4 linked regions of the Oreochromis niloticus genome follow. The protein of the gene in region 1 interacts with the protein of each later gene in a biochemical or structural test. Links are inferred from orthologs where the notes say so. Each region holds a gene or a part of one and is shown on either strand. Other genes may lie near its edges. The genes, in order: akt1, ccdc88ab, hspb1 and ezh2.

Region 1 (8,332 bases):
ATCTCCAGATAATTGTAAAGGAAATGCTGTCACGCTCTCTAAAAAAGATGCCAAGAGAATGGATGATTTCTCGTTTGTAGCTGAACACCCGACAAACTAAATGTTTAGTCAGATGTGTGGCACATACAAAAAACAATTTACCATTCAAGCACTGATGCTTACACAAACACTCCATCCAAGCAGGAGCAGTGATGTGGATAAGAATAGGAGCAGTGGCCCTGTGTTTCCCTGGCCCTGGCAAACGTAGGCGCCCAGTAGAGGAGGGGTGTGTGTGTGTTCACAGGGCAAGACAAAGCAGTGGTTGTGCCTGGGGACTGTGGCCTCAGCAGAGAGAGGCTCGGCACGGTGAAGGTTCTCACACACAGAAAAAAAAAAGATAGGGAAAGAGAGACAGAGAGAATGAGAGCGGGGGAGTCGGGAGAGAGAGAGAGAGAGAGAACACTTCCTGGAGGTTCATTCTTCTTCTCTGCAATCATCAATGGCATTCTCTCCCTGACCCACTCCTCTCTCAGACAAACAAAAGACCCCGCATTCCAGTGTAGCCTGACTGGCCAACCAGCCAGAGTTGAACCACATCACTCTCCCTGCTGGACCAGAGTCTGATCATAGTTGTGGGTTTAAGCTGTGCTGGTGGTGTCTGTTTGAGGGTGTTTATAATGCATCTCCATGCATAAGGGCAGTAAAGTTTATGTTCTTTTGAAATGGTTTTAATATTGGGGAGAGTGATGTTATTTCACTCTCACTGGCCATGCAGATTTAATCAAATTACCTTTTTTTAAACAGGTGCATCTTTTATGTAACTGGCAGAGAATTCAAAACAAAGCTTTGCAAAACCTTTTAACCCTGTTTTTAATTAATAATAGCACAACAGCAACAAATTCAAAAGGCTGCGATGTTATGGTTTTCTTTTGTTTATTTGAAACATATATGCTTATGTCTTTAAAAAAAGTGGGATAAGAGGATGTTTGCCACTGTGGTGTTGTGAAACCAGAGAGATCAATTACTGCAGTTTTGTAAGCCAAATGTATTTCTGGGCTTGTTTGATATAAGATTTCAGCTCTTTAGCCATTCGGGGCCTTCTGCTTTGTCATTTTAGTTCTGTAATTTTCCACATTTCCAGTTTCGGAGTAAAGTCGGATTGGTTTAACACCTGGATTCTTTTACTGTAGGGCCCCGCTGCTATAATATGTCCAGTAAGTGGTCTAGTGTCATCCTCCTGAAAAATACATGAGTGGTAGCACATGTTCTAAAACCCTGCATATATATTCATTCAGAATTAATGGTGATTTTAAAGATGTGAAATTTACCCGTACCCTCTGCATCCTGTGCACAAATTCACTTCCTCAGTATCACAGATGCTGGCTACTGAACTGTTTGCAGATCATCTGGATGGACTCTCTCTCAGCTGGGAGGACACGTCTTCCATTATTTCTGAAAGGAATTAAAACTTTTTAACCACAGTACAGTAATTTGGTTTTTTACTTCAACTCAGTCCATAATAAAGGGGTTCAGACCCAGAGAAGTCAGTAGCATTTTCCATGTTGTTCATAAGTGTTTTTTTCCTTTGCCTTTCAGAGTTTAACTTGGAATAAACTTAACTTTTTGAATAAAACAATAAATGTATGTCTGTTCGCTTAATAGTTTTCAAAAGTGTTCCTTTTGAATTTTTACTTCAGATTTTCACTTCAGAATTGTGTTTGTTTCCAATGCAGTGAGTGTTAGTCTTTGGCCTAGTCCTTTGCATACAAAGAGTTCCCTGCGATGTCTACCTCTTTTAATAATATTGCATACCAAAGAAAATTCTCAAGTTCATGAGTTGCAAAATTTAATTCAATTCAGTTTTATTTATATAGCACCAAATCACAACAACAGTCGCCTCAAGGCACTTTATATCGTAATGTAAACCTCCTACAATAATAAAGAAAAAACCCATCAACAATCAGACAACCCTCTATGAGCAAGCACTTGGCGACAGTGGGAAGGAAAAACTCCCTTTTAACAGGAAGAGACATCTAGCAGAAACAGTCAAGGTAGCAATCCTTAAAATTTTCAACTATTTTCCCATGCAGTCCTTCACAGATGTTTCACTCTCTAGGAGGCCAATTTTACAACAATATTTTATATTATTTGCCTGTTGCCAGTCAACCTAACTGTAGCTGTAAGATGAGCCACCAGATGTTTTAGGGGTTTTCTATTGTTGTCCCTAACTTTTTTGGAAATAGGATGCTGGAATCACGTTAAAAACAGTTGCCAGCTTTTAGAACCAATGCTTTAATAACTGATAATCAGTTGTTTGTGTGTATCTTCTAGGAGTGATTTATCACAACAGCTGCACTGGTTAAATAAAATAAGTGTCCCTATATCACTCACATACTTTTAGTATCTCTTATACTGTTCTGTACTGATCCTGCTGTTTTACACGCAATTTATACAACAATAGTTGTGTGATTCTTTTGCTTTGTTTTTTTTAAATATTACATTCATCTAATAGTGTAATAGTTTAAGCAAAATTGCTTTGTAGTTGACTGGAGATGCTGTTTTGGTCAGCTTCCCCACCGCCCCACGTATCCATTCACCCAACACCTCCTCCATATTATGGCCCTCCTGCCCTTCTGTGTCTAATTGTTGTTACCGCGTGTTATCTATTCTCCTTTAACGGGCCATTAAGTTCTGTCTGTACTGTTTGTTGTACTCTAGACAGATACTGCAAGTAGACAGGGATCAGAGATCAGATGAGCCTTTGATGGGAGAGATGCTATTAACTCACTTTGACTTTTTAATCTTGTTACTGTTACGTTTGATCCCGCAAAACAACAGAGCGGGCATTCCCATCAACAGGCCAAAGAGAGTGGGTGGAGGAGGAGGAGGAGAGCACCAATGAATAGCAACTGGAGAAAATATGGGATACCCTAAGTCAGCTTTGCCTGTATGACAGGAACAGCTTGGCGAGGCTGACACATGGTAGCAGTGAGAAACACATTACAGCGTGAGTGACAAAGAGGGGAAATGACAGCAGAGGAGGCTGAGAGACAAAGGGCACAAGCCAATGAATTTTTCATCACAAGAGGAAACATTGGCAGCTTTCCCCTGCTATCCTGTTCTTTTAATATTATTAAGTCATTATTGCGGGAATTGTCACATGCACTGTCTTGCTTTTATAAGTGATACATATATTTTACTGCACTTCTAATGCTGATTCAACTTTGAGGCAGTCAACTACACCATGCTTGGAGATAGAAAAATAATGGAGGGGTAAGACGTAATGGACGTGAAGAGGGTCGTGAGTATCACAGTGTAAAGCAAGATAATGGAAATGTTAAAATGGGAGGTCTCTAAAATGTTTTAGACTTCTAGTTAGAAACATTTTGATCAAGTATACCCAGTCATCTGAGGGCGTCATTTGATACATAGGCTCCCTGACTTCTTTTAAGCAGACTGAGCTGGCCTGTCTGTACCTGTCCAAAACTGGTTTAACTCCTACCTCTCCAGTGGAGTTCTCTGTAGCTGTAGATGACGGTTTATCTAACACAACAGGTAAAAGTGTGGCATGTAATCATGAACAACCCTCAAGATTTTTACCTTCTCGTTCAGCTGTTTCATCTGGTATATGCAGTTAATTTAAGAGAGTATCTGCATGAATACAAAAAGATCAGTGGCAAGGGCTAAATCAGACTAAATACACTTCTGCAAACACATTCTTGTGTTCAGCACATCTGCTTTACCCATTTTGAGGTATTTTGTTTTAAGTGTGTCAGACTGAGACATTCTCACACTTCATGTTTAGTTGGCATTTCCTGGAAATGTCAGAGGCCCTTCCACAGCAACTTGAAGAGAAAGCGTGTACCAGTGCTTTTTGGTACTGGCAGATGTGACTGGAACCAGGTGATCGAATGTGTAAAAGTCCACCACCGAGCCTGATGCTTTAGCGCTGACGTGCAACAGAATGGAAGCAGCAGCACATCCTGCTTATGGTTTCTTCTTTAGTAGTGATTTTAATATAATTTTACTAGATTACACAAGGCTACACATGTGTCTGAAAGAACCATATCTGAAACTAGAGCTAGAGCTTCACCTTTTAGAAGCACAGCTCTTTACACAGTTTTAAGGTGCATAACCTTTTGTTTTCGTGGTTTTGATTGGTTGGTTGACCTTATTTTGGATAAAGCTTTATTTACTTTGACCTAATTTCACTTATTATAACTGTATTTCCATGTTAACAAGTTTACCCATCAAATACAACTTGCTTGAAACAAAGACACGGTGACAAACTTGTACTTTTCTTTCAGATACAGCTGCAGCTTAACTTGTTTAAAACCCTAGAAGGAGTTTTGTGAACATAAAATATTTTATTGTAATATAATTTTAAAAGTTATTAAATAACAGGGCAGATGTGAAATGACAAAATGATAATAACATACTAAATGAACCAGTTTAGCTCTAAAAAACGTTTTTCTTAGTCTTTTCTTATAGCAAACTTTGCAAGACTGTAATTTTGAACTTTTGTAAGGCACTAATATACAACATCTGGACTAACTGGGAATATCTGTGTATATTTTGTGACCAAAAAACATGTAATCAAAAAGACAAAAAAAAAGTAATACATAATTACAGATGATTGATGACTAGAAGCACCTTTTGCAACCCTAATATAGCTCATCGCAGAGCAGGTAGAGCAGGTACCAAAATGTAATTCTCATCTTGTAGCCTGCATTACCCTTGTGGTTGTTCCAGGAAGTCAAAAAAACCCACCTAAGTACACTTAATTGAAGCGAGGATCCCTTGAAAAACATACAAGGTCCTCGGCAGGTCCCCGAAACCCATTTTGGAAACCACCGGCACAGATAAAAGAGCAGAGAGTTCAACAAGGCCATGCAGAAGAAGCACCACTGCAGTTTTTTTTTCTTCAATGGGACGCCTGACAGCCTACTACTCCTTCTGTGAGTGTGACTCATTTAAGGGCGGCTTTAGGACCCGGGAGAGACGGCTGCCACAGAGGCATTGCAGACAGCGCGTTTGGGAGGTGTAGTGGAAGAAAGGCAAGAGAAACGGAGTAAATGAGAGCACTTTGTCCAGATTGTTGAAGGACCCGTCAACTTAAAACACCGCCGAAACAGCTCACTATAATGAGACGGACACATTGTTGAATTCCTGTCCAGGTAAATGTCCGCGTTTCCTTCGCATGGTTAACTACAAGAGTTCGACAGCTAGACAGGGTAGGTCCCCATTGTACTTACATGGGATGCGGTTATTCTCACCCAAGCTGCCCTGCTAGGCCCCATATCCTTTCTAACGCTAGATGCAAACCTGAAATGAGGTACTTTCCTGACTTCACTTCGCCGTAAAAAGTTGTCTCATGACGAAAAAAGTCGACGGCTCATTAATTTCCTGTAGTGAATTCTTAACGCTCGGTGTTTTTCCACAAACAGCAGTGAGTCTCTTTAAGATGTTAACCATTCATTTTTTTTTTTTTTTTGACAATGACCACTTTTGAGACACAACCCTCGGGCCAAAATATCTGCAGTCAAGTCGCTTGAAACGGTTCTCCTCTTTGCGGGAAAAAAGTTGGGTTTTTTGGCGTTGTGCTTTATGGTCCTGGAGGGAAATGAAAACAAATGAGCTCAACAAGAGAGAGCAGCTCATTCATTGTTGTGAACTACCACCGCGTTTGTTTACTTGTTTGAGTGAGGCATTTATTGCCATCTTATCTTTAGCCATTAGCTTTGCTGCCTGCCTGCCGAGAAGCTGCTGTGGCCACAAACAGTGCTGCTTTACAAAAAAGAAAAAGTTATGCGTCTATGTTGTGACTTGTTGCCACGCGTTTACTTTTTGGTCCACAATTTAGACACAGACGTCATAAGAAAAAGTCCCAACAGTGTAATTTAACGCCCCCCCCCCGTAATCAGTACAACGGCATAATGCCTGTGGATAAGTGTGTTTTGATAGTTTTCACTGGCCTCACTGCTAGCATCCCACCTACAGTAATGACAGTTGTGTAGGTCTGCACTCAATAGTTTTTTGTCTTAAAGGTTTATTATTATAGTATTCTTATCAAGTTTGAGAGATATCAAGTGATCAAGGGCATAGAAATCTGATGGGCTTTCAAATTTCAAAAGGATTCTTGCAGGATACAAGGCTTGCAATCATGTTTAAAACTTATTTTACTAATAATACTGTCTGTCTCCTTCTCCCAGGGTGCATGCATGTACTAAAAAGAGAACATTGTCCCCGGGTGTGTTGTACCCACCATGCCTTCAGTGTCAAAAAAAAAAAATGTTTTTATCAGTCATGAGACTACGTCTGTCCACTGTGTGTGTACGCAAGGGGATTTGGCATGTGACCTGGGGAAGACGCAACAAGCTGGCGCAATGATGCAGCCAGTGACTGCTTGGCTCTCGCTGTTCTGTTTAGAAAAAAAACACCCACCTCCCACCCAATCCCCTCGCAGCAGCTCGGTTGACGCAAATCTGCCACCAGTTGCATGCAGAATCTGAGGAATGTTGTTTGAAATTTTGTCCAAAACAGACAAACAGGGGCCTGGATGCATCACCAGAGTCTGGATGTACTGAGACTGAGAAAGAGGTGGTTCTCGTACCGGTGTCCCGGACGTCACTCTTCTCCATCTGTGTCACAAAAACTGAAAACAAAATACTTTTGTTTTCCTTTTGCTTTTCTGTGTTAACTTTCCAGCCATTGTAAAATGATTCTCATGAGGTGTGATGTGTGTGTGGGGGGGTGGTGGTGATTTGAATAAATTAAGCTTTGTGTTGCTTTTACAGCTTGTCTGAACAGCCTGAATATGATTACATTAACATGAGTCATAAAGTGGTTGGTGTTCGTGTCATCGTAGGATTAAAGCGGCGAGTCTGCTTGCCTTTCAAGGTTGCAGTCACTGCGGTTTTGTGTTCAGTTAAAGCTGCCCGCAATATTCTTATCAATAATGGTGTGCTTTCAGGGAACTTGAAAGAGGAACTTGGTAGCGTAGTAGATCACCGTAATACTGGCTCCACTGTGGTATTTGAGCTCAAACTAAAGTGTTGCTTTGGTGACTTGTTTTTCAGCAACAGGTTAGCGTGATGTCATTTCTTGTGTTTTTAAATACTTTCAGTGTAATGTTTTACTTTTGGAACCAGAAACCATGTGGTAGTTTTTCTGTTAACCGAGCAGAAACTGAAGCAAAAAATGGTATCTATTAATCTGTGATGAAGGAAGTAGCGTGGTGATGTCGACCTGATTTTTTTTTTTTTTTTTTTTCTTCTCCCCTGCTTCCTGCTATAAACACATGGGACTATCCTCTCTGGCCCAGTGACAAGCTCAGTGTGTGGCAACTTTTGCTGCATGACACTGATTTGCATTGAATGGGGTGGCCCCCGGCGTTGGAGCCAGAAAGATGAATGATTGAAAGCCGCCCTGACATCAGGGCAGGCAGGCAGGCGGTGGCCCAGAGGCCTGAGGACCATGTGACCCGCTGTCAGGGTACTGGGTTCATTCAGTGGCTGCTGGCTGCAGCGCTGGCAGCGGCCCAGCTTTTTCCACACAGGCCGCAGTAGCAACAGGTCGCTCCCATTAAAACAGCAGCGCTCTGTTGTGGCTCCAGAGCCGGTCTTGTGCATGTGTTGCTTTTTTGGCTGCGGCGTGTGTGCGCTCAAGTTTGTTTGTGAGGTGTATCCCAATGTGTATATAATGTGTGCGTGCCTGTGTCACAGAGTCCACACTAAGATGCCGATGGGATCCAACGGTTTTTGTGATCCTTACTTTGAATTGCACTCTGTGTGCTTCCCTTTTTTTTTTTTTTTTTTTTTTTTTTTTTTTTTCCTTCTCAAATCCCTCTCCAGGATCCTTCCAACATCGGCTGTGTGACACAAGCACCACAACCCCAAGTGCAATAAACAAAAACACTGAGCGAAAATAAACTTTGGCTTCATAAACTTACTTTTGCTCACTGATGGAGGGGAGCAGAGTGGCAGTAAAAGGTGTTGATTGCACACTCGCTGCCAGATGTATTCGAGCCTGAGGCTGTACTGATATGACTCGTTGTCTGTCAATAGTCACATTCACTTCCTGTTGTTGTCCCCACCAGTTAGCTGGATGAGGCCACTCAAACAGAGCTCTCTTTTGATGGCCCAGCTCTGATGGAGCAGCAGGGAAATTGATTTCAGCCGATGGTCAGGGATCGCCTGGCGCAGTATGTGACATTTATGTGAACAAGCATTGCAATTGATCATCTTTTGGCTGCTTCCCTTTATTCAAAGCTATCTTTATATCACAAAGAAATACTGAATGAAGGAAAGGGTCAAGTGCTTTGGTTATGATAGCCTGCAGGTTTGAAGTCTAA
Region 2 (7,667 bases), on another chromosome or scaffold:
AAATATAGCAGACTTTAAAGAAGCTATGTGTGGAAGAGGAGAGACAGCCTTGCCATTTGGAGAACACATCAGTATGTAGAAAAAGCCTGGAGGAGGAAAACAAGCATGGGAAAAAGAGCTGGAAGAGATAGTTTAAACCACAAGATAGGCGGCTTAGAGTGATGGCTGAACAGCAAGAGGTCGAGGACATTATAAGAAGGAAGGACAGGATGAAGAGGAAACCATCCAAAGAGAGGAAACCGTGTGGGGGGTTAACTAGCTCCTCATGCAATGCAGCCACACATTTATCCTTCTGAAACACTACACACTTGTTACTAATGTAAATCTGTACACAAAACAATGGAAAGACAGATTAGAATATCCATACATTTCCCTGAGCTACTGATGTGGCAAGAAGTTGTCACATGAAAGTGCAACACATAATCTCTTGAGAGGTGAAAATCAATTCCAGTGGGAGCAGGCTGGGTTGAATGGTGCTTAGACAGGCAGGCGGGGGGATAAATGCTGACAGTGTGGAGTGTAGCATTAGCGGAAAATATGAAAAATTGTCCTGCTAGCGGGAAGTACCAGCCAGGAGCCAGACAAAGGAACGAAAAGCGGTATTCTGTCATGTTTATATATATATATATATATATATATATATATATATATATATATATATATATATATATATATATATATATATATATATATATATATATAAAAATGGTGGTGGCTAACCAACCGGACATAGTGGTGGTAGACAAACAGAAGAAGACGGCTGTAGTGATCGATGTAGCGGTTCCGAATGACAGCAATATCAGGAAGAAGGAACACGAGAAGCTGGAGAAATACCAAGGGCTCAGAGAAGAGCTCGAGAGGATGTGGAGGGTGAAGGTAACGGTGGTCCCCGTGGTAATCGGAGCACTAGGTGCGGTGACTCCCAAGCTAGGCGAGTGGCTCCAGCAGATCCCGGGAACAACATCGGAGATCTCTGTCCAGAAGAGCGCAGTCCTGGGAACAGCTAAGATACTGCGCAGGACCCTCAAGCTCCCAGGCCTCTGGTAGAGGACCCGAGCTTGAAGGATAAACCGCCCGCAGGGGCGTGCTGGGTGTTTTTTTTTTTTTTATATATATATTAGTAGCCAGTGTTGGGGAGTAACGGAATACATGTACCGCCGTTACGTATTCAGAATACAAAATATGAGTAACTGTATTCCGTTACAGTTACCGTTTAAAAAGGTGGTATTCAGAATACAGTTACTTTGTTGAAATAAATGGAATACACAGCGGTACTTCCCTGTTTCATATTGTCGCGGGTCAGGATTGTTTGGGTTTGTTTGACAGCTACGTTCTGTTGTTCCAGGCGGCAGCGTTACGGTTGCCATGGTTACAGGGTGACGCTCTCTCTCTGCGTGTTTCCTGGGTGAGAGAGCGCTTTTTTGTTGTTGTTGTTGTGCTAAGCTAAAAGGCAGAATGCTACAGGCATAGCTCTAAAGCATGTAGCCTGATGGGCAGTGTAGTCCGTGCTGCAGGGAGAATGGACTGCCATACACGTTATGTGTCTGTGAGCGAGGGAGGGAGAGAAAGGAAAAGTCCGAGCTGTCACGGAGCAAAAACGGGAGCTGGAAGCATGTAAATATAATAATAACCACAGCAGCCAAGAAGAGTGCCTGACGAGCCCATTTGTAAGTAAGCTATTAAGACTCAACTGTACACCGTGGTCGTGTTTTCCTCCGGAAAAAATAAGTTCCGTTGGAGCAGCCTTTCAACGCCTCTCTCTGTCTCCCGCAAGCAAAGTTGACCCAGACAACAAAGTAAAGCTAGTTTTCGGCTACCAGCCCAACACGAACCCACGGTATTAGCCAGAGGTCCCTTTACTACGTTTCGGAGCCGCGGACCTTCAGTAACAGTAATAAATCACAGCAATAGGACATTCATGTAGTTGTAAACAGCATGATAATATATTAAGTATTCCAAAGTATTCAGAATACGTTACTCTCATTGAGTAACGTAACGGAATACGTTACAGAATACATTTTGGGGCATGTATTCAGTATTCTGTAGTGGAATACATTTTAAAAGTAACCTTCCCAACACTGTTAGTAGCTGAGTGGAAAGAGAAACTGAACATGAAATTCCTTTGCCTTATCAAACATCCAACCTTTCTCACTATCAACAGAACTCCCAATACATAACAAGTCCTTCCCTTTCAGCTGAATGTAAACCAAATGTTGGCCTGCTGCATTGCAGTGCAGTCAACATCCAGATTCTGTGCTGCTACAGCGAGTCTTCTTAGGGCTACTATTTCTAGTTTAATAGAAATAGTAGCCCTATTTCTACTAGGAAACGTGAGGCTGCAGCTTCCAGGGGCGGGGTGTCTTCCAGTCGGCTGCAGATGACAGTGTAGGGTGACTTAAAAGAAAACACGCACGCATCTTTGCAGCAAACATGCCTGCAGACAATCTGCGGAGCTCTAAAGAACCCCCGACAATAACTGTCTGCAAAGATTTCTGACAGTGCGACCCATCATTGACCCCAATACAAGGTCCCTTTGTGCTTAGCCTACATTCATTTTAAGCGCCGGACAGAGGCTGCAGTTGCTTAATTTGCTCATGAGGGGACGACCCCACGAAAAACCCCCAGGGTGAGTACCACTTTGACCTTCCTCCACACCCACAGACCCCGTTTACTGACCAAAATGCATACATATAACCACACAGAATGGGTACTATATGCACATAACACGTTTAAGGTTTAACCCAGTAACCCTTGTTAATGCAATGACGGGTAATATTTCTGGATGTGTGCCGCAAACTACTTACATCTCAAGCATTATCTCATTCAGGTAAATGCCATCCACTAATTCAATATATTCCGATAATTTGGTGCCATCGGTCACCGTCGAGTGTCCGACCGTCTTCACCTGAAAAGTGGACAATAGATAATCAATAAAAGAACAGCATGGGGTGATTAATTAGCGAGCTCAAGACACATCTGAATAGCTAATTAGGGAGCTTACCCAGCAGACCAGAGGTGTGAGCATGAACTGCTCCAGCAACGGAGTGAACACCTCGTTTTCCATATTTTCCTGGCGCCGTTTATTTCAGCAGATATGGATTTTTTCCCTTTTTGAAATCGGAGAGAAACGCGTTTCTTTAGACACCGCTCATGTAGTTAATTCAATTAAATCGACGCTCATTGTGGCTACAGGCCACTGAAAGACGTCCGAGGTTCGGTGGGAGAAGGGGTAAAAAAAAAAAAAATCGTTAATCCACAATTTTCTAGACACAAGCCAGCTGTTTCAGATGCCAACGATGGGGGTTCGGCTCCCTCACGGAGAAGGCAGGGATTCACATTTTCTGTTAAAGCGCTTTAAATAAAGGTACTCTGTAATGTGTCGCCAGCCGGGCTCGCTATCTATCTACAAATAAGATTAAGGAGACCTGCGCCAGGTATGGTTTTATGCTGAGGAACTGGTAGATAGAGTCCAACGGTGAGGGGCGATATTCCTCCAACACGTCCTTTTAAATTAAATATCCAACACAAAGGGAAATCCAGATGTTTGAAACCGTCGGGTTACTCCTCATATTTATTCTAAGGTCATGTCTAACCACTCATTCTGCTTCCCCTGTCTGCCTCTGTTCAAATACTGCACACCACTGAGCGCAAGACTTGGGAGGATGACTCGAGGACGCGTAGGACCGCCCCCCTCCCTGCCTCTCGCGTGCATCTCCCTCCGCCTCAGCGCCTCTGTAGCCCAAGAAAAGTAGGGCACTGATCAAAGCATCTCTTTCAGCTCAGACTACTTCATGCTCTTAGTCATGTTTCGTAGAAAGCACTTAGTCATCTAGCGCAGTTAAACTGTCTTAAGATCATTTTAAGTATCAAAGAAGCAAATTGTTTGTTTTTCATTGAAAACCAGTTTGTCTGCAGCTTCAGCGTTATGATTTCTAACATGCTGTGGCACATTTGGTTCCAGTTTGTGCTTATTTAATCCACTGGCATGTATAAATGCTGGGGATCCAGGCATACTCTTTGTCTGCATTTGCAGCATGCAGTACATTAGTGACATGTAGGCTACTGACACCTGGTGGGTAATGTAAAGTCTGGAGGTGTAGTATCTGTCAATCAAAGAAACTGTTCCATCAAATTTGCAACATATGATTCGTTTCAAATATATAAAATAATCTTTCTGCAATCAATTATTTGTTTGGTTTATTAAAGGAGACTTGTGCTCATTTCCAGCTTTGTGTTTGTTTATTTATTTATTCAGCATTATTTAGGATGTTCCTTTGAGATCAAATCTGTTTTACAAGGGAGACTTGGCCAATGCAGCTTTCAGACATACTGAAAACATCCCCCAAATACCACAAATACAACAAAAAATACAAGGTCTACATACATACAATTAATATGCAATAAACAAATAACATAAAACATTAGTGGCCTCTAAAAAAAAAAATAATGAAACGTCTCCTTTTCTGCAATCCATATGATGATTTAAATTCACCAATAGCTATAGCCTTGTTTAAGTTTAAGGTCTTCCTGAAAATTATTCCATGTCTAACAAAACACTGTTGTCCCCACATCTGTCAGAACTCTAGTCACATCAAAAAAAGGCCAATTTAGAGGATCATAGCTAGTAACTATTGATATGGCGACAAAGAGGGGTACGATAGTGTAAAATAGTATCGCTTCATAGAGAAAGATAAACCAATATTGGTTTTTGTAAGTTATCAGAGACTTTGGATTTTTAATAAAATGTAGAGATGCACGGTACAATCTATCAAGATCTTCTTGCTATTCTTGAACTCTAGTCTATTATTATTTAGAAACAATCCTGATTAATCTTATGCTGGGCCTTGTTACAGTCCCTCATTTCATCCAGCATCTGTACTTTAGTTCGCATCTACCTCCCTTTAACCCAACTTTCTTCTGATTGGCTATCCCTAATAAAAACACAGGCTCAGTAGCAGGTGGATGGGTCTGTAATGACAATATTATCTTGTCTCAGTGACATCATGCATACTCAAGAGTAGGAGAAAAAGTATGTGAAATAGAGCGAGTTAGAGTAGTCTGAAACTTGAGGTTTTGGCTCATTACTTCTACATATGCCTCTATCATTAGTTGAGCATTCACCATTGTAACATTACAAATTTAACAGAAATAGACAGGTCTGCTTTAAAGACCATAAAACTAAAAATATCCATAATGATACAGAATGAGGTTGTATCATTTTTATTGGCATTTGTTTTTTTTAAATGACTTTGAATGATTTAGTAAATGTCTGAACAGCTATGAATGGCTAATTTTGAAGCTCTAAGATAACTTGTGACTCATACTATTCAGTGAAAGGTCAAATGATTACTCAAGGTCAGATTTTGACAGAAAAATAATCTGCTACTTATATAATTAATGAATCATTCAAGATATTTGTAAAACAAGTTGTCAAATGTTACCAGCATTTCTGTTTTATAGCAGTGGAATATCTGAGTGGGCTGGACAGAACTGATCATGTTAGTTTGGTTTAGGAAGACTGTGAGATACTAATCAATAAATTCAGTGTTGGCAGCAAATAATAAAATGACTGATGGATAAATGTGTTTGACTAAACTTAACTTGGTTAGTTTGTTGAATGAAGCCAGGAGTTTTAAACACACAATATTTTTTTATTTTGCAAAGTGATGACTTAGAAATAAGTCCACTATAGAGGTTGAAGACACCTAATCAACAAATGATAAATGGCTCTGATGGTGTGCAGAGGGAGCAAAGGCAATGTGGCCAAATAGCCAATCAAAACACAATCACTGGTTTGGGAACCAGAGACCTGAATCACCTCCAAGGAACAGGTTTAAGAATGAATGAATAGCTTACTGTATATATAGTCCCTTAAAACCTTCACTCAGCACATTTCAGCAGCTGTTTTGAATAAGCAGAAGTTATAATTTCCATTTAGAATAACGGTCACTGTTGTTGGTGCTTTAGCTTGGGGCTATACAGTGTGTGTTCGTGACAGGACCGGCTGTCTCTTGTTTCCTGCAAAACATGTTTAGCTGAAGCGATGTAAGTTGTTTAATGCACAATATTCAGCTGGATAATCTAATGTAAACAAAACAAAAAAAAGGACTCTATTTATCTTTTACATGGATGTCTGCATCTTTATGTGGGCATTAGCCGTTTAAATGAGGCTCTGCTGCTAACAGATGGGCTATGTCTAGCATACAACAAAATGCTCATTAGATCTAAGCTCCAAGCAGAAACTGGTAACAGTCTGACATGTTTCAAAATGTAATGTCTGATTGTGTCTTTGCTTATATTTGCACTATAAAAGTTCCTTTTGGAGGCTTGAAATAAATCCCTCTGTATCCTAGATCGTCCATACTGAAGTGCTAATTTGGTAACATACCTGTTTTATATTCAAATGTATTTAAAGTCTCTGAAAATGTAGTTTAATTTCTTGAGTTGTATCAGTAAAACATGAGAGGAAGGAAGAACATATTGTTCTTTCTACGGTGACGATTCAGATATGATCATTTTGTGCTCTGATCTTTAACCTTACAATCTAATTTCTTTAATGAAGACTAAGTGGATATGGTTATATATATGATATATTTTGCAATAAATATTCAATGTTATTAACTAAATTAAGTAATGGAAATTAGATTTTTATTAAAAACCAGTCCTACTAACTCAAAGTTTGCATTCATCTTTTATTTAGTTTAGCCTATTATTTAGGCCTTAATTTTAAGGCCAGAAGTAATTGTTAGGTAAGTGACATAAACTAGTTAAAAAAAAGATAAGTTAATCTTCAGTAATATGTCCATGCAGGGAAATGCTAATTTGTTTTTTTTAGGCAAATATGTTTTAAGAAGCATCCTGAAAGCCAGGATTCTTGTTTTGTACTTTTTATTAAATCAGTCTTTCAAAAATGTCTGATATTACTAGAAACCAAATGTGCTGCCCACTTCATTAATCAATTTACCATCCGACTATCTCTCATTCATTCCGGGCTGTTATAATTCAAAGTGACTTTGTGGAGGACTCCCAAGAAGTGCTGATGAACTTCTCGGTCATGTTTGGCGTGATCTGTGCACTACATGCAGCTACCATTATCCCAAGAGACTCTGACCAACACTGTATTCATTCAAAGTACAGTAGTCTGGAAGCTGGCAAACTTTCCCAAATTAGAGACTCAAGAGTCTGAAACAATGTCAGAACACAGTATTGTGTTTTGCTTTTGTTGTTGTTGTTTTTTATATTATTTTAAATTTTTGTAGCAATAACTCGACTACAAAAAATGTATGAGAGTCATTGTTTTGAATATGGGTGTTACCCAAGCAGATATTCAAAAATAATAAAGTTCCTTTTTTTGAGTTTGAACGGTTTTCAGTGTTATCAATCAAATCAGCTTTTCAGATATTGAAATGTACATATAGACAAAACAACATTTACCCTCACTCCTTTGTAGTGCTGTAAAGAAGGTGCAGGAAGTAGCTTCAGTGCTGGAAAATAACTGTTTTGGCTGCATGAATTTGTTGGAAGCTCAAGGGTCAAAGTGGAGTAATAAGAACAAGAAATATATATTTGTAGCAAAGTCTACCTGACGATGCAGTCCTTTTCTGTATCACAGTACTGTTATTTTAGACATCAAGATGTGAAGCGTGCACAGATCTGTCTGAATAAAT
Region 3 (7,948 bases), on another chromosome or scaffold:
CTGAAGCACCTGTTTGACACTTCTTCAGACAAATCTTTAATTAGCAATATGTTTGCAGGCCTTCAAAGGTGCACACCTGTGTTGTTCTTTACTAGCATGGATGGAGGAGGTCTAAGGCAGATGAGAGTGAGAGTAACAGGTAGAGGGGTCCGAGGAAGAGACGTCTGTGTGTGAGTTGGAGGTGTAGTTGGAAAGGCTCAAGTTTCAGAAGAAATTACGGGCAGCTGTTATCGATCATGCTATCAATCATGGCTTTTCACTTAAAGAGGCTGGACAAAGAGTACAACCGCTTTAAACAGAAACACTGTAATGTTGCTGTGTAGTAATATCTTCAGCAATATACTTCATGTAATTGTTTCCTCATTCCCATTACATGTATTCTTTATAGAACTGCCGTTCTCTGGTGGAAGAGGGACAATTTTCACGCAGCCTTATGGCAAACAATGCCATAAGGCTCCGTGAAATCAGGGCAGCAGTGATCGCAGATCAGGAACCTCAACAACGTGGGCCTGACCACCACTGACCAAGTCTTGAAAAGCAACCATATTTCCATGAAGCAGCTCTACAGAGTTCCATTTCAAAGGAACTCTGAGGTTGTGAAGGAGGCCAGATGCTGTAATGCCTTGTCATATCATTCAGTTAAAGTCAACTGGAGTCACTTTTCATTGTAATTTTGCTTTTACTCAGAGAAGAATGGAGCTTGAAGCTGAGGGGGCACATCATGTCTTCATTTATGTTGATGAAGTCGGCTCCTGTAAAGTCAGGAGTTGTGGAAGGAACCTCACTGGATACAGGGCCACTTTCATAGTTCCAGAACAGAGGGGTACCAACATACCCACGTGTTCTGCCATCTCCAATGATGGTGTCCTATGCTATATCCCCACTATTCACCCATACAACACCGAAGGACTCATGACATTCCTGAATACACTTCATGAGAGGCTGATCTAGCCTGAGGACAGAGGGCTGTTGAGGACTGTCATGCCCCTCTTCGCCATTATCTGGGATAATGTGGCGTTCCACCAATGAGTGGTTTACAGTACACCCACATATAATGATGCAGTTCCTCCTAGTATGTGCCCCATTTTTGAATCCCTTAGAGGAGTTTATTATCACCATCCCTATGAGCAGATACCCTTTCTGAATGCAATGACTGCTGCAGCTCAAGAAATAGGTGAGGAGGAATGTCAAAGTTGGATACGGCATGAAAGAAGATTTTTTCCTCGGTGCATTGTGAGAGAGAATTTTGAGTCTAATGTGGATGAAGCCTTGTGGCCAACTCGTCAAGTCAGAAGGGACTGAGTATCAATAGCGGCTGTTTCTTATACTGTAATAGATTTTATTTTGGTTTACTGTATTCATTTTGCATTTATGTATTTTCTGTAACATGTACAGTATTTCAGTTTTCAGCCAGTTTGCATCAAAGCATTTTTGATTCTGGATCCCACTGAGCACTGCATTTTGTATTTTGTTGTCCATTGTGTAATGATTGATTGGAAAATCTAATATACTTGTTTGCAAATTGTGTTGTTTTGAAAGCAAAATTAGCTTTTGGAGGCATAAACAAAATGTGTCACTTTGACCGTCAGTGCCTCTGTTAGGCCTGTTTGAGTTGACTGCTGCATGACAGCAATCAAGAAAAGCTGTAAAGCACTAAGGATATACATACATGTCTTCATAGATTTCTAAAATGTTTCATAAATGATTTTTTCAGAGAGTTTTAATTTGCATATATGTTAGGTTAACTCTAAAACTCATGCAGTTCAGTGCTACTGAACCACACCGGCCACTTAAGATCCTCACCAGACTTAATCAGCCTCTTGTATCTCAGATGCCCTGCTATGAAGTTGAAACGCTGCCCTTCATTCTGCCTCTGAATACAGTAATATGTTTGTTGTGACAACGGACCGATAAAGGTTGCGGTCCAGAGAGTGGTGTCCCCTTTTTAACTGGACCAAATTACTTGTGTAACACACACTTTTTCAACAGCTAAATGAAGGGTCATTAGTTTTGAGCGACAGCTAGAGAGAGGTCGCACTTTGGTGTGTTTACAAAATTCTTCATTACACTGTCGTGTTTAAAATATCATCCTGGGTCACTGGTGATACATGGGGTGGAACATGGGGTGGCAAATTCCACTTGGATTGAATCTTGTGCTTTGTTTATCTCAGTGTTTATGATGAGGTCCAGTCTCTGAGCGGAGAGACGTTGGGTACAGTCAGGGACTGAACCCTGGACCTGGACAAGATCCAGCAGTCCTTTTAAAGTAGTGGACCTACTGGTTGAGCTGCAGCTAAATCCCCAGCTCTGAGAATGGGATCCTTTGTGAAATAGCAGGCAGGGAGGCCGAGATTCACTCAGAGAAAAGAGAGCACAGGGCTTCAGAGAACTAAGCTGCTATCTGATCAGTTCCACACTTTCTTCAGGTCTGCTTTGCTCCTGCCCGTCCTGGATGGACAGTGAGGCTGTTTTAACATTGTTTTCATGCCTGAGCTTCTTTAAAAGTCAACTCCCACATTTTGAACTGTGTCTTGTTTTGCGTCCAGTGGGCTTACAGTCAAACCCCCCTGACCCTCCCAACTCCCTGAACACATTACTCTATTGTCTCAATATGTTATGTAACTATGTAACCACCTCATGCTTTGTTCAGTTCTATCAATTTTTGTTTTACAGAAGAAAAAGAGACACTTAAGAACACCAAAGTGAGACAGTGTGCATACCAACCAGTACAGCTGTCTTCTAAGGATAAAGAGATGTAGGTGTATGATAAAGTGTGTCACTCAAGGAACATCTGACTGGAATATGACACATTAGGTTTCAGGACATAAAACACTATGACCTTTAAATCATTCAATAAGGAGAGCGACAGAAATCAAATAAGTGCTCACCCGAGATTTCCACCACGCCATCTTTCGTCTTCACCACCAGCTCCTCAGGTGAGAAGTGGTTCACATCCAGCGATACTTTCCAGCTGTCTTGGGTCTGCTTGATCTCGGAAATTCCGCTGCTCAGCTGGCGGGACAGGGCCCGAGCCTGAGCCTGCTGAGCCATCATGTGGGTTGGATACATCAAAGGGGCATGCGGTGTCATTAGTTCTGGGGCCAGGATGGATGGCCTCAGGTACCCTGGCCAGTGGGTGCTGGGGAATGCGGCGATGTCCTCGGGCAGGGCGGGCATGCCGAAGGTCTGGTCAAAGATACGGCTGCTCTGGTGCCAGTCACGAAATGGGTCCCAGCTCGGAGTGCGGAGCAAGGTGAAAGGAATACGTCTCTCAGCCATGATGATCTGGGTATTTCTTCTAAGCTTCAGAGGAGTGTTGCTGTGTGCAGATCAAGAGCCCCTTGGCCTCTCTGGAAGTGTTTTCTTAATGTGCTGTCTGCCTCTCAGCTGAGAGCTTTTATACCCACTGATAAGGGGTGGTCCCTTATCAACCGAACCCTCCCTTCAGACTCAAGCCCAATACCTCATGCCTCCAGAATGTTTTAGGAAAGCACTAGAATATCTATTTGTAGCGGACGTAGCACTGGAATGGAATTCAACAGGAAGGCCCTCCCATGTAACAGCTGCCCAATGCCCTGAGTGCTGTGTGTAAACCCCCTTCTCCTCTCCCTGTGCGTCTCAAAGAGCCAGAAGAATCTGGGAGGCTTCTGTCAGTCTACTTACAAGCTAACATGCTATTTCTAACAACACTATGGTGTGCTATGAACCCAGTCAGCCCTGAATGAAATACACAGTGGAATATCAGTTTGGTACATGAATGCAAATGACTTGACTGCATTAAAACTGGAGGAAAATCCACCATGTTCACACCTGCCTATTGATACTTCATTGTCACAAAGAGGGAATTAACAAGCTGTAGTGTCTCAAGTCTTCTGTTAACCTGACAGTCTTTCATTGTTTACTGGATTAGTTAGTGCCGCGTGATACTGCAATTTTGGTATCGATCCGAAACCAAGTAAATACACGGCCAGTATTACTAATACTAGTACACATATTTTTAAACTATGAAGGCAGTTTATCTAGGGGGGAGTAGTATGTCATGATTTATGAGATTAATTGCCAGTTTCCAAAATCTGAATACATTTTAATGACCACTAAATCATCATGATTTTTACTTTGCACATGAAGTAGTTGAAGACCTGGAATGTAAATGTGTCTGTCTCTTAAGCACTTTGGGTCAGCTTCTATTGTTTTAAATGTGCTAGGCTAATTTAAAAAATAGATGTGACAGTGAAATGGAGGTTATGTTAATTTATTTGATATATGGCAAAGTAAGTAAGTATTTGATTTGTGGAAGATTTGGCTCAGGTCTTAGTGTAAGAAATCTAATCCCTCAAAGTTACAGCACAGGATGTGATATCTGCCTCTAAAATAAGCCACGTCTTCCTCTCAGCCCAAGTTTGCCTCGACGTTTCAGTAATTCCCCACAGCTGGAGAACATTCTAGCCTACTTAATAGAGAGAGGCTTCATGTTTTTGGTCAAGGTTCTCATCAGTGCCATCTGTAGGAAAATACATACACAGCACCAACAAGTTATCGCTGACTGCACCTGAAGGCAGAGAGAAGAACTCAAAAACTGGATCATTTCCCCATTTGTTTCTGTTTATTGTCAGGTATAATAACTTGTACAATACAAAGAATGATTTGTAGAATCAAAGGGGCAATGCTATACTTGGAATAAATGGTCAGGCTGCAGAGTATCATAGCTGGGATAAGTGTGGTTACACTGGAAATGCATGTCATGAGACCGGGTGAATGGTAAGGAAGACTTAGGCTGATCCCTGATTGTATCACCTGTTTGTTAACCACCCTCATGGAGGTGCAGACACAGCCTGCTGCCGTGCCTGCCAAGCCATCGCTCATTATCTTTTGTAGCCAGCAACCGGGGAGACCTCTGCTAGAAACGTGTGGCCAATTATACAAGGGACTGAAATATGGAGTGACTGGAAATGTACAGCAGAGTAATAGACTCTTCAGGCTGCTTCAGGCCGAGTTCTCTTCCTCCCTCGGCACAGGCAGAGCCACAGCGGCCCTGCGTTACCATGAATCATTATAACGGCTGGGGACGCAATAATGGCAGTGGTGGGAGTAACTGTGGGTGAACGCTCAGTTCAACTGGCTCAAAAATCAGAGCTCCTTAAACACGTAGCAATGCATCTGTGCACTGCTTGTTGATCTGATAACAGGAGCTAACCTTTGCAATGAGAAACCGATTCTGTATCATAACGTGGACATTTACAGTACTTTTCTCAAATCTGCAGCAAACCCATCTCCAAACCATGATCCAACTGCTTCACAGCGAAATGATAAATACATTAAACAATAAATAACCCAATAAATAAATGAATAAATACAGCAAGTTTCATAAACAGCTGAGATCAACTCACAAATGTGCATGGAGACTTTTTGCAGTATGGTACCATACAGCAGCTCACGTAAATCATTACCTCGTTGATCTTTGTAAAGGAGGTTCACACTCACACACACATACAAACGCGAACACACTCTCGCACAGGATTAGCATAACGAACGTAATGCGTTCATTAACCTCTGTTTGCAAAGGTCAGGGGGAAGGGGGAGGGCAGATTCACCCTGCTGGCACCTATCATTTCCATCAGGTTCCTTGACTCTCTCCTGATGAATCATGCTGAACATACCTCTTCAAACTATATGGAATATACAGTGCATAGTTTACAAAGCCAAACTTAAGAGAGTTTACATCTGTACAGACAAATCTATGCAATACAGTTTTCTTCTAAAAAAAGAAAAAAAAAAGTTATTTTTATTTCTTTTCCTGATTCATCCTCTGACTTCTCTTTTGTTCTCTTTTTGTTGATCTGTGTGCTTGGATGAACTGGAAGTCTTTGGGGTTGATGATTACATGATGAGAGAAAACGAAGTGATTCTCTGAAATGTACAGTAAGCTGTGTGATTTCGATGTGTCTGCCTTCTTTTCGTCTTCTTTTCGTCTACTCAGCCCCTCTTTTCAGGATATATTTGATATATATCTATATATACTTATATAACTGTTATTAACTGTTATTGAATGTATTTTTGGTAGCTGTGTGGAAGATGAGAAGGAAAGTGCTAACATACATTTGTTCTTTGGGCTCAGCCAATTCATTTTAGACACGTAAAAAAGAAAAAACCTTTCCTTGAATGTGTGAGAAGACATGAACAGTGACAGCCAATTTCATGGTAATGTGCTATATCAAAATACATTTTCCTCTCTTTGATCCAGGCTCTGTGTTAGAGACAGAATGGTCCATGGTGAAGGAGTTTGGATCCCGGGCTGTACAGCAGTGCGGCCCCTGCCGAGGACTTGCTAAGGATACGTAATGAATCTACCGGAGTGCAGCAGGTTTAACAGCACTTCTCCTACTTTTGTTCCTGTTTTTTTTTTTGTTCTCGTTCTGCTGGTCGCCATCAGAACCCCGGGCTGTCATAGCTGCTGCGGCTGTAATAACTGTGGTGGCTGCGGGAGCGGCTCCTGCTGCGACTCCAGCTCCGGCTCTGGCTGCGACTCCAGCTGTGGCTGCGGCTCCAGCTCTGGCTCCGGCTCCTGCTGTGGCTCCTGCTGTGACTTCTGCTGCGGCTGTAGCTGCTGTAGCTGCGGCTGTGGCTGCGGCTGGATTGTGACGGGCTGCTGTCGTAGCTGGAAGATGAAGGACTGGGCCGGTAGTATGGAATCGGCCGCTTCCGAGCGCTGGAGGAGGGGGAAAAATAAGGGTTTGAACAGTTAGTCCTATGTCCTAGTCCTATTTTCTATGGTTATACTGTTAAATCTGATGTTAAAGCAAGATTAAGGCAATCAGTGTTAGGTCACAGAATGGTGACGTGTAATCAGTACAGGATCTGAAAGAGAGCAGCTATGTGGGTTAAAAAAAAGCTCTTCAGCCTCACACACACACACACACACACACACACACACACACACACACACACACACACACGTATAGCAGAAAAATGCATGTGTTTAGTTGAAGTTCAAGCTTAGATTGCCTTGTTAATAGCCACCCTGGCCACCCTTACTTCCTGTAAGGTAATTAGCCGTTAGTTCCCTAAGAACCTCATCTTCTCAGTGGAGGCCAACACCCAGAAAATAAAAATCAAGAGTCAGTGGTGCAGGGAGAGATAAACGCTATCAAGGTATCCCTGCTGCTACGAGGTACATTTCACGAGCAGCGCTGTAGATAACTCAACCCCAGCTTTTGTCTTCTACATTGGCTGTGGGAATCAACAGTGTGAGCAATAAGGTGTGTGAGGGAAAGAGGGGGGCTTCCACTCTAATAAACCTTGATAGCGCTTTAATCTCTGCATCCTTTGTGTTACAACAGTAGTGCAGAAATACAGCAGGGTGCGGCTCTAGAGCCGGAGTGAGTTTCAGGAATGAGATGAAGAAGCAGAGAAAGGACAGAGGAGGAAGCCCAGTTTACTCATGGGAGCTCTGATGAGTTGCTGCTCAGCCAAACTTCAGTCACGGTATCAGGGTCCTGCTGCACGGCAACTGTTACCGGGGTGACTAGCCGGCAGCAATTGGGTTCAGCAGTAGCCCGTTGTCCTGGTGTCGGGACCTTTAAGGACTGAAGTGAAAGATGACAAAGTACACACATTTTACCCATGGCTATTTACACTCGAATGAGAAGGTTGCAGAGGTAACACAGGGAGAGGCTGAAACACATTTCACCTGCAGGTGGGACTTTCTTCTTCCTCTGTTTGTCTGAATAATTAACTGCACCTAAAAGCATTTCTATTGGTAACAATGAAACGATCATATGAGAATAAATTAAGAAGTCTAAGAAGTAAGCAGGAAACAAATATGTGGATGAGTCTAATAAATGGTTTTAAAAAGACTCATTAAAATGGAATAGAACAACTGGAACAACTAAATTAACCAATGAAATCTTTTGCCAGTTCAGTTATTCTTCATTTTACATCCTCATTCTTA
Region 4 (8,008 bases), on another chromosome or scaffold:
TTTGTCACTTTTTATGGAATCAAACTCAAAATAAGGTCAGTACTTCCACGCTTTAAACGCTGCATGCTACACTCTGTCCCGCACTCCATATATTATGATCTGCAGACAGCTGTTGTCACGAACGTCGCACTCGCTTACGTCACTGTCATGAGACGTTCTCGCAAAAAATCACGGTTTTAGTAACGCAGTAACGCAGCGTTCCTACGTGAAAGTAACGGTAATCTAATTACCGTTTTTGCAATAGTAATCCCTTACATTACTCGTTACTTGAAAAAAGTAATCAGATTACAGTAACGCGTTACAAGTAACGCGTTACTGCCCATCTCTGGAGAGGACAGATGGTTTGAAAGAGGAGTGAAAGAGGCCATCTATGTCCACTGTGAGCGACCATCTTTGAACAGAGGCGGTGGTTTACGACACCAACTGTCTGCCATCTATAATCCAGTTTTGAGTTCCCTCCCCAGACGCCTTAACGCCCACTCACATCCTGGGCCATCTGACCTCAGGAATTCACATGACAAGGTGGGGCCAGGTTTCACAATGAGCTCACCCGAAACCCTGGCTGATTAGGTCCCACACCCACTTTCACACCTTGGCGCATGTGATTAGAGGATCACCAGGGGGTCCTTTGTCCCTCCTTGGGGGGATACTCCCACTGGGTTTAAATCTGGGACTCTCGGCCATTTGACCTTAGAACTGAAGAAGCTTCTCGGATGAGAGGTGAAACGTCTTCAAGCAACTTAAAGAAGTCCAGACGCTTTTCTTTGCAAACTCCTTTGACTACGATGACCTGGATGACTGAGAACCTTCACAGACATGTTTTGTAGTAGTTAATATGTCATTTTTCTTAACATAATTGGTGATATAGGTTACAAGCAAGTCTGGCGCTGAACAGAAATTGTCGCGCTGCTCCTTTATTTATTGTGCATAAATAGTGAATTGTCCTGACAGAATATTGCGTTTCGCTTCTGTTATTACCACGGTATATTGACAAAAACATATACTTTTATTCACAGGATAAAACAGTTGTTTTGTATCACTAATTGTCCAGTGCGATTACAACATACAATATTATTGTCACTGCTACATTTCTGTAATGCGTACCAGAAATTATTTCCACTACTAATTAATTACCGTTGAGCTCAAAGGTTATATTAATAAACGGTTAACGAATGTGTATTTATGACGACGATTTGTGAGACTGGTAAACTTACCTTTGTTTTTACGATGGTCTTGTGTTCTACACAGTGCATTTCAAGGTCCTGTACCCATCCGTCGGTAAACTGTACCTGGGCTTGTTGCAGTGACCTGAAGTTACTAAAAACTTCATGAGTGTATGCACTCACTCCAAGAACCGTATAATTATAAATCTGAGCGTGGTGAAAGTTGGGCAGCACACTGACGTCTTTTGTCCACTCTGTGTGCTTGTAAGGGTCTGACCCTTTCACTCCTTTGATTTTTTCCTCGTATCTTTTCTTTGCCTTTTCATCGAGTCTGTCTTTGTACGGTCCGGCATTATTCTCCTTAGTTTTGTACATTCCTTTTGTGTGCGGCAAAGAAAAACCAAGAATGTATTGGAACCGGAGAATGAACGTTTTGCGGTGCTGCAAATGCTTGCATTTGATGCGGTACTTGGATCGTTTTGCCTCGAGTTCCCGGCATGCATTGCGCGAAAGTCACGTGATCTGTCAATCGCTATAGGAAAAACCTTAAATTAAGACCAAGAACCCTAGAGGTGAGACATGATCATTAATTAATATTAAAATTAATAAATGACAGATTTAGTGATATTTTCATAAACACCTCCTTTCCTTTTTTTGTTCTCCATTTTCTTTAGTTCGTCTATAAGATTGCTAAACAAGGGGGAGGGTGCATCCGGCCTCCTCGGCTGTAATTGGTCCAGCCCAGAGTCGATCATGACCAATTGGCCAATCCAACACCTTTCATTATATATACCCTTCCTAAAAAAAAAATTTAAAAAAAAAATCCATCGGCCCATAAAAACAAGAAATCGCCAGCGGCCCACCGGGCAAATGCCCGGTATGCCCGATGGCCAGTCCAGCTATGGCTTCATACCTTTATATGTAAATATGTTCTCACACAAATAAATAATATGTTATTATTAAATATGTTTAATAACATAAATATGTTCTCTGTATAAAGAGCTAACATCTCCAAAATGTCAGCAGTAGTTAGTCATTACAAGAAGTGTTTTTGAGCTAAAAATCAAGAATGTGGGATACTGTTTGTCGGTGATTTGGAGAGCCCAGCGCTGCTCTTGACGCAGGGGAAACTAATTCTGTCGAGGAGACCTTCCTTGGCATTTATGCAGGTGAAACCAGAGGGAAGACATGCTTCTTCATATTTTCTAGTCTTTGGCTTGCAAGGAAGTTTGTTTGGAAACATGTTTGGCGATGCTTCATCTCCTGCTTTGTGTTTGTGTGGAAGCCCCGTCAAAAAAAAACCTGACCATTATGCTAGTAGTGTCCAAGAGTTCTTTTTTCTTTTCATTTTTTTTTTATACCGCACTCCCCTGCAATGGCTCTGCGCCCCCCACTTTGGGAACCTCTGTGCTGACCAATAAATAAATATAATATCTTTTTATAGGATGTTTATACACTCAGATTCTTTCACTACCTGCTCACTAACAGTAACAACACTATCAGTAGCAGCATAATCGGTTTTCAGGAAAATCACAAAAGTCTTTCTCCACTGAAAACAAAACAAAAAAATATTTGGACCTTTGAGAATCTAGAGTCTTATTTTTATAGATAAGTTAACGGAATTTAAACAAAAGCCTGGCAGATGGAGCTGCACCACCGTGACCACCAGAGGGAGCTGTTGTGAGATCCCACACAGATGAACATTAGAACAAACTGTCCTGTCAGTAAAGAGAACACTGGAGCACCTTACCAGTTATAAAGCAGCATGCTCCATTTCCCACTTTTTAGGGATTTTCTTCCCAACTTTTTTTCAGAAACAGTGCAAAACAAATACAAATAGCTGATGCATTATTGTCCCTCTCATGGTCTTATTTCTAATCCTGTTCAGTCTAAATGAAATTAATAACATCTTCAGCTCGGCCTCCTTTCTTTTTGTCACTGCCATCATCCCCCACATCATCACAGGTCTCGCTGTCATCTTATAAACCTTCCCTTTCACTCTTGATGCTCTTCTTCTGTCACAAATCACCCCTGACATTCTTCTCCACCCACTCCACTCTGCCTGCATCTCTTCTTCACCTCTCTTGTGCATTGTCTGTTGCTTTGGATGGTTGACCCCAGGTATTTAAAGTTGCCCATGTCACTATAACACACAGATCACCATTGTTTTGTTGCCCTCATACATGTTCTGCACCACATTCATATACTTCTCTGCCACTCCTGACTTCAGCACGCACCATTACATTTCCTCTCTTCCTCCCTTCCTTCTCTATACTTCTCCATCACTCTCAAAGCAAACATCACATCTGTAGTGCTCTTTCTCAGCATGAAGTCATGCTGCTGCTCATTGATCACCACCTGTCTTCTTATTCTAGTATCATCAACGTTCCATTTCTTCATGGTATGGCTCAACAACATTATCCCTCTGTGGTTGCTACAGCTCTGCACATCAACCTTCTTCTTAAAAACAATACAAGTACATTTTTTCTCCATACCTCAGGTATCCTCTCATTCTCTCCAGGATTGTGTTAAACCATCTAGTTAAAAAAAAAGTCCACCACCCTCTCTCCTACACATTTCCATCAGGTATGTCATCTGGACGACCTTTGCACTCTTCATCCACTCTGTTTACCAGGTCACCTAACCTATTAGTATTCCAGTCTGCTTTCCTCATCTCCCTCCCTAGTATTATTAAAAGTAATGTATAACGTATTTAAAAATCAATGCATTAAAACATTCTTATAAATTTTATATACATTTTTTGTACTACTCTTAAAGATTTGGAATGATACATAATTGTTTTGTAATGATGCTTTTAATCTGTCTGCTGTGTTTTCTGTTTCCGCTGGCAGTGAATGCATCATGCGGACATTTTCGAAGCGTCATCCAATCGCTGCTTGGAGGGGCGTGGCTTAATAAACTTAGAGACCCTTGCCCTTGCTGGTTGTGGCACTGTAGTCTCTCATTCATTCAATAAACCCGTTCAGCCTTCATGTTTTCATGTTTCCTTGTTCTGGACACACTGAGACGCTCACACACCTGCTGAAGCCTGAGCTGTTCTGCACGAGACGACGCGCTGTCTGTCGCCTCTCCTCTGCCCTTAAATCCGTCGAAAACCTTTTTTATATAAGTGTTTTAGTTTAGCCCCACGGCTGTGACAGCTGTTATACGTCAGAGACACCGCTTTGATTTCAAATGTGATGCATAAATATTATTAACTTAACTGTCAAATTGTGTATTTGCATATTTTGGTTTTTATTCCGTTGACAGGAGAGAACAAAGAGAAGCTGTCCACATGTCCCCGCTACAGGGCCCCCAGCTCAGCTCCAAATTTCATTGGCTACACGTTTATATCATTCGACCTATCGCGTAGGACTCACTGAGGAAACACTAACATCGGGTTCTGTGATTGGCCTAGACGTTTGGCGCCTCTTGAATCCGCCGCAGCCGTAGTGGGCGGTGAGGCGGAGGAGCAGTTTGAACAGAGTCGCTGTTGCTTAGGCGGAAACATTAAAATCCAAATAACTTTTTACAAGCAGGCTGACACCAAACGGTGCGACTGTCCCTCATAGACGCACAGCTTCTGTGTCCTAACCAGCCTTGGAGCGAAGGAGCCGGTTTGAGTTATTTTATTTGCCGGCTCTGGGTGCGTGAAGCCGGGTGTCGCGCGAACTCGGTCGCTCCCTCCTCCTGAGTTAAACTGCTAGCTAGCCACCGAGCTAACGTTACAGCTAGCCGTAATACGGAGCGAGCTAATCTGCAGCACAAAGGACGACTTTGCCCGTGTTTGTCGCATCGATCCGGATCGCTCCGTTGGATGAGGCCAGAGGCTCGGGTGGAGGTGAGAGAAGCTGTCAGTGTCCGTGGCTGTGTTCACGGGGCTTTTGTTGTGGGCTGCTCTTTGTGCTCTTGGGCGCCTCAATCTTTGTTAACTCGCCAACTGTTAGCTAGCTCGCCGGGGTACCGTGCCAATTCTTGTATCCCCGTAAATATTGACTAGCTTATAAAGAAGCCGTCGTCTTTTTTTTTTTTTAAATCACTCGGAGGAGGGTAATGATTCCGATGGATCCACCGTCCACTCGTGTTTTGGGACCTTTGTGAGCCTGTTTCTGAGCTAAGGGGAAGCACATTTTGAGGGGAGCCAAACTTGGCACGACATCCGCAAGCTATCGTTAGCTCGAAGCTAGCTCACAGAAAAAGGCTGGTACAGTTTTTTGATGTATAATTTTTAGTACCTCTCATTTAATTTTCTTTCTTTTTTTGTTCAAGCTTTTGAGGGTTTTATTGTGAAACTGGGGCTGAAGGTGGTGTTAAAAGTGAGTGTCACCTTAAGTTAGGAGATTGTCACATTGATAAAAGTAAAAAAGCTTCCCTCTTGTTTGCCTAGAAGCCTTGCGGGGGCGATATTCAACCACTTCCCTCACTATAAAACTCATAACATCGCCTAGATCAGAAGAATAGAAGTTTGTGCTGCTGACACATGACAGGAAGCTCGAGTTTCACCTGTTAGTCAGAAGTCATCTTGAGAGTCATGTGGCAGGTTTTGGGTAGAGCCCGACCTGTGCTGCTGGGTTTGTGAGGGGAGACAAGCTTGTTAGCTTGGTAGGATGGTGGGGTTATTGTGCTGTTTATTTGTAGGTGACAGTGGCTGCTGTTCATCCACAGACTGTACATAAAAGAATGATATACAGTACTGTGATAAATTAACTCCCCCCTTCACAATTTCTTATTTTTTTCCATTTGTCATAGTTACTTATTTCAGATTGTCAATACATTTTTATTGTTAGACAAAAGATAACCTGAGTAAATAGAAAATGCATTTTGTAAATGAATAATAATAATGATAATGATTTAATTTATTAAGAGAAATAAATCTATACAAACCAAGCTGGTCCCTTGTGGAAAAAAAGTAATTGCCCACTAAACCTAAAAACTTGATCTGCAACTCTTGAAGGTCAAATGTTTGCAGTGATTTATTTAAGTCAGGACTTTGACTAGGCCTCTCCAAAACATGCATTTTGGGTTTTTTGAACCATTCATCATCATCATCGTTAATTTGTATAGCACTTTAAAAACACACCCGGTAGACCAAAGTGCTGAACAATACAACAATAAATAATAATAATATAGAAACTTGGCAAGACAATAAAATTAATAAAAATGTCAGTCACCCACAGAGTTAAAAGCCAGAGAATAAAAATAGGTCTTCAATCTGGACTTAAAAACCGGCACTGATGTAGCCTGTCTAATGTGAAGAGGAAGATTGCTCCAAAGCAATGGGCCACAGCAGAGAACGCCCAGAGGTGGACTTGCTGGTGTGTTGGATCATTGTTCTGCTGCATAAACTAAGTGCCCTTCTCCTCCAGGATTTTCTGATAGAGAGCAGAATTTATGATACCATTAATTATGGCAAGTTGTCCAGGTCCTAAAGCAGCCCCAGACCATCATTAATACTGCCACCTTGTTTGAATATTGATAAGATGTTCTTTTGATGATGTGCCGTTAGTTTGATGACAGATGTAACAGGAATCAAAGTTCTGCTTTTGTCTCATCGGTCCACAGAATATTTTCATGAATTCTGAGCTCACCAGAGACAAGTGAGGCCTGCAGTTCTTTAGATGATGTTCTGTTTTGTTTTTGTTTTTTTTCCTGTGACAACCTGGATGAGCTGCCAAGTAATTTGGAGTAATTGTGGTAGGCCATGCACTCCTGGGAAAGTTCACTGCTGTTCCAAGTTTTCTCCATTTGTGGATAATGGCTCTTACTGTTTTCGTGAGTCCCAAAGAATTAGAAATTTGTATTCCTTTCCAGACTGGTAGATGTCAGTGACTTTGTTTTGCAGCTGTGTCTCTAGACTGTAGCGTGATGTGTTGCTTTTGGAGATCTTTAGCCTACTTTACTTTGACAAACAGGTTCTGTTTAAGTGATTTCTTGACTCAACAGGTCTGGGAGTATTCAGGTTTGGGTGTGGCTAGTGAAAGTGATTGGGACTTTCCAAAAAATGTGATTATTCCCAGTTTGTTCATGACTTAAAAGTGGGGGCAGTTACTTTTTCTGTTCTGAGGTCAGGTAATATGAAATTTGAAATTATTTTTGTAAAACACAGAGTTCACATTCTCTGGAACAAAAAGGAGAGGAAGCATTCAGTTTGTCATCAGTTCAAAGTCTGCTTCCATGATGATGTGGGGGTCCACTCGTGCCTATGAAACTAGAAATATGAACGCTGAGCCCGGTGCTGAAGTGGCCTGCCTGCAGTCCAGACCTTTCTCACCATAATTCATGCTCAACATTTGGAGGATAATGAGCCAAACAACACAACCAAGACCATCCAGACCTGTTGAGCAGCTAGAATCCTTTGACAGGAATAGGAAAACATTCCTCTCCAGAAAGTCCAGCAGCTGCTCTCCTCAATTCTCAGATATTTGCTGGCTGATTAGAAAATAGTTTTATAGCATTGTTGGTGATTTTTTTTCTTCCCTCACATCTGTACAGGAAAACCAAGCACAGTTCACCAATCCCGGTATATCCGTACTAGGGTTGGGCGATATGTAAAAATTTTCCAATCGTCAGTCCAACAATCTCTGATGGGCGATATATTCGCGCATGCGTACACTTTTTGATGGGTGGGGCAATGTAATCATGCAGGAACTGATTTGTGCGTTTACAACACAGAATACAACGCGGCTTGAACGCGGTCATCACAATTACAATTTTTAACACTCTCAACCCATCTGGAGCGCAGAACGAACAAAATTGGGACAAACTGCCGAAATGTGTTGATGGGGACATTTCAGGGATTTTGACTCAGTCTGGGATCCAGATGGGTTAATTGTTAAGCGCGTTAG

What was found.
Region 2: the proteins of akt1 (region 1) and ccdc88ab form a complex in vitro, tested with the Homo sapiens proteins (2 studies listed by BioGRID, with this or other methods). The link is inferred for Oreochromis niloticus from reciprocal best matches to the Homo sapiens genes AKT1 and CCDC88A.
Region 3: the proteins of akt1 (region 1) and hspb1 form a complex in vitro, tested with the Homo sapiens proteins (3 studies listed by BioGRID, with this or other methods). The link is inferred for Oreochromis niloticus from reciprocal best matches to the Homo sapiens genes AKT1 and HSPB1.
Region 4: of the proteins of akt1 (region 1) and ezh2, one has a biochemical effect on the other in vitro, tested with the Homo sapiens proteins (2 studies listed by BioGRID). The link is inferred for Oreochromis niloticus from reciprocal best matches to the Homo sapiens genes AKT1 and EZH2.

What each region holds. Positions count from the first base shown.
Region 1 is NC_031983.2:8,882,168-8,890,499, reverse strand, and holds the start of akt1 (RAC-alpha serine/threonine-protein kinase), read left to right. Parts: upstream 1-4,782; 5' UTR 4,783-4,937; exon of another isoform or gene 4,938-5,213; intron 5,214-8,332. UniProt on the Homo sapiens protein: AKT1 is one of 3 closely related serine/threonine-protein kinases (AKT1, AKT2 and AKT3) called the AKT kinase, and which regulate many processes including metabolism, proliferation, cell survival, growth and angiogenesis.
Region 2 is NC_031978.2:10,540,289-10,547,955, forward strand, and holds the start of ccdc88ab (girdin), read right to left. Parts: upstream 3,686-7,667; 5' UTR 3,065-3,685; coding exon 3,002-3,064; intron 2,906-3,001; coding exon 2,805-2,905; intron 1-2,804. UniProt on the Homo sapiens protein: Bifunctional modulator of guanine nucleotide-binding proteins (G proteins). Acts as a non-receptor guanine nucleotide exchange factor which binds to and activates guanine nucleotide-binding protein G(i) alpha subunits.
Region 3 is NC_031975.2:6,936,254-6,944,201, forward strand, and holds the start of hspb1 (heat shock protein beta-1), read right to left. Parts: upstream 3,280-7,948; coding exon 2,889-3,279; intron 1-2,888. Other genes in the region: srrm3 (serine/arginine repetitive matrix protein 3), read right to left, coding at 6,427-6,706. UniProt on the Homo sapiens protein: Small heat shock protein which functions as a molecular chaperone probably maintaining denatured proteins in a folding-competent state. Plays a role in stress resistance and actin organization.
Region 4 is NC_031974.2:2,280,647-2,288,654, reverse strand, and holds the start of ezh2 (histone-lysine N-methyltransferase EZH2), read left to right. Parts: upstream 1-4,585; 5' UTR 4,586-5,004; intron 5,005-5,185; exon of another isoform or gene 5,186-5,363; intron 5,364-8,008. UniProt on the Homo sapiens protein: Polycomb group (PcG) protein. Catalytic subunit of the PRC2/EED-EZH2 complex, which methylates 'Lys-9' (H3K9me) and 'Lys-27' (H3K27me) of histone H3, leading to transcriptional repression of the affected target gene.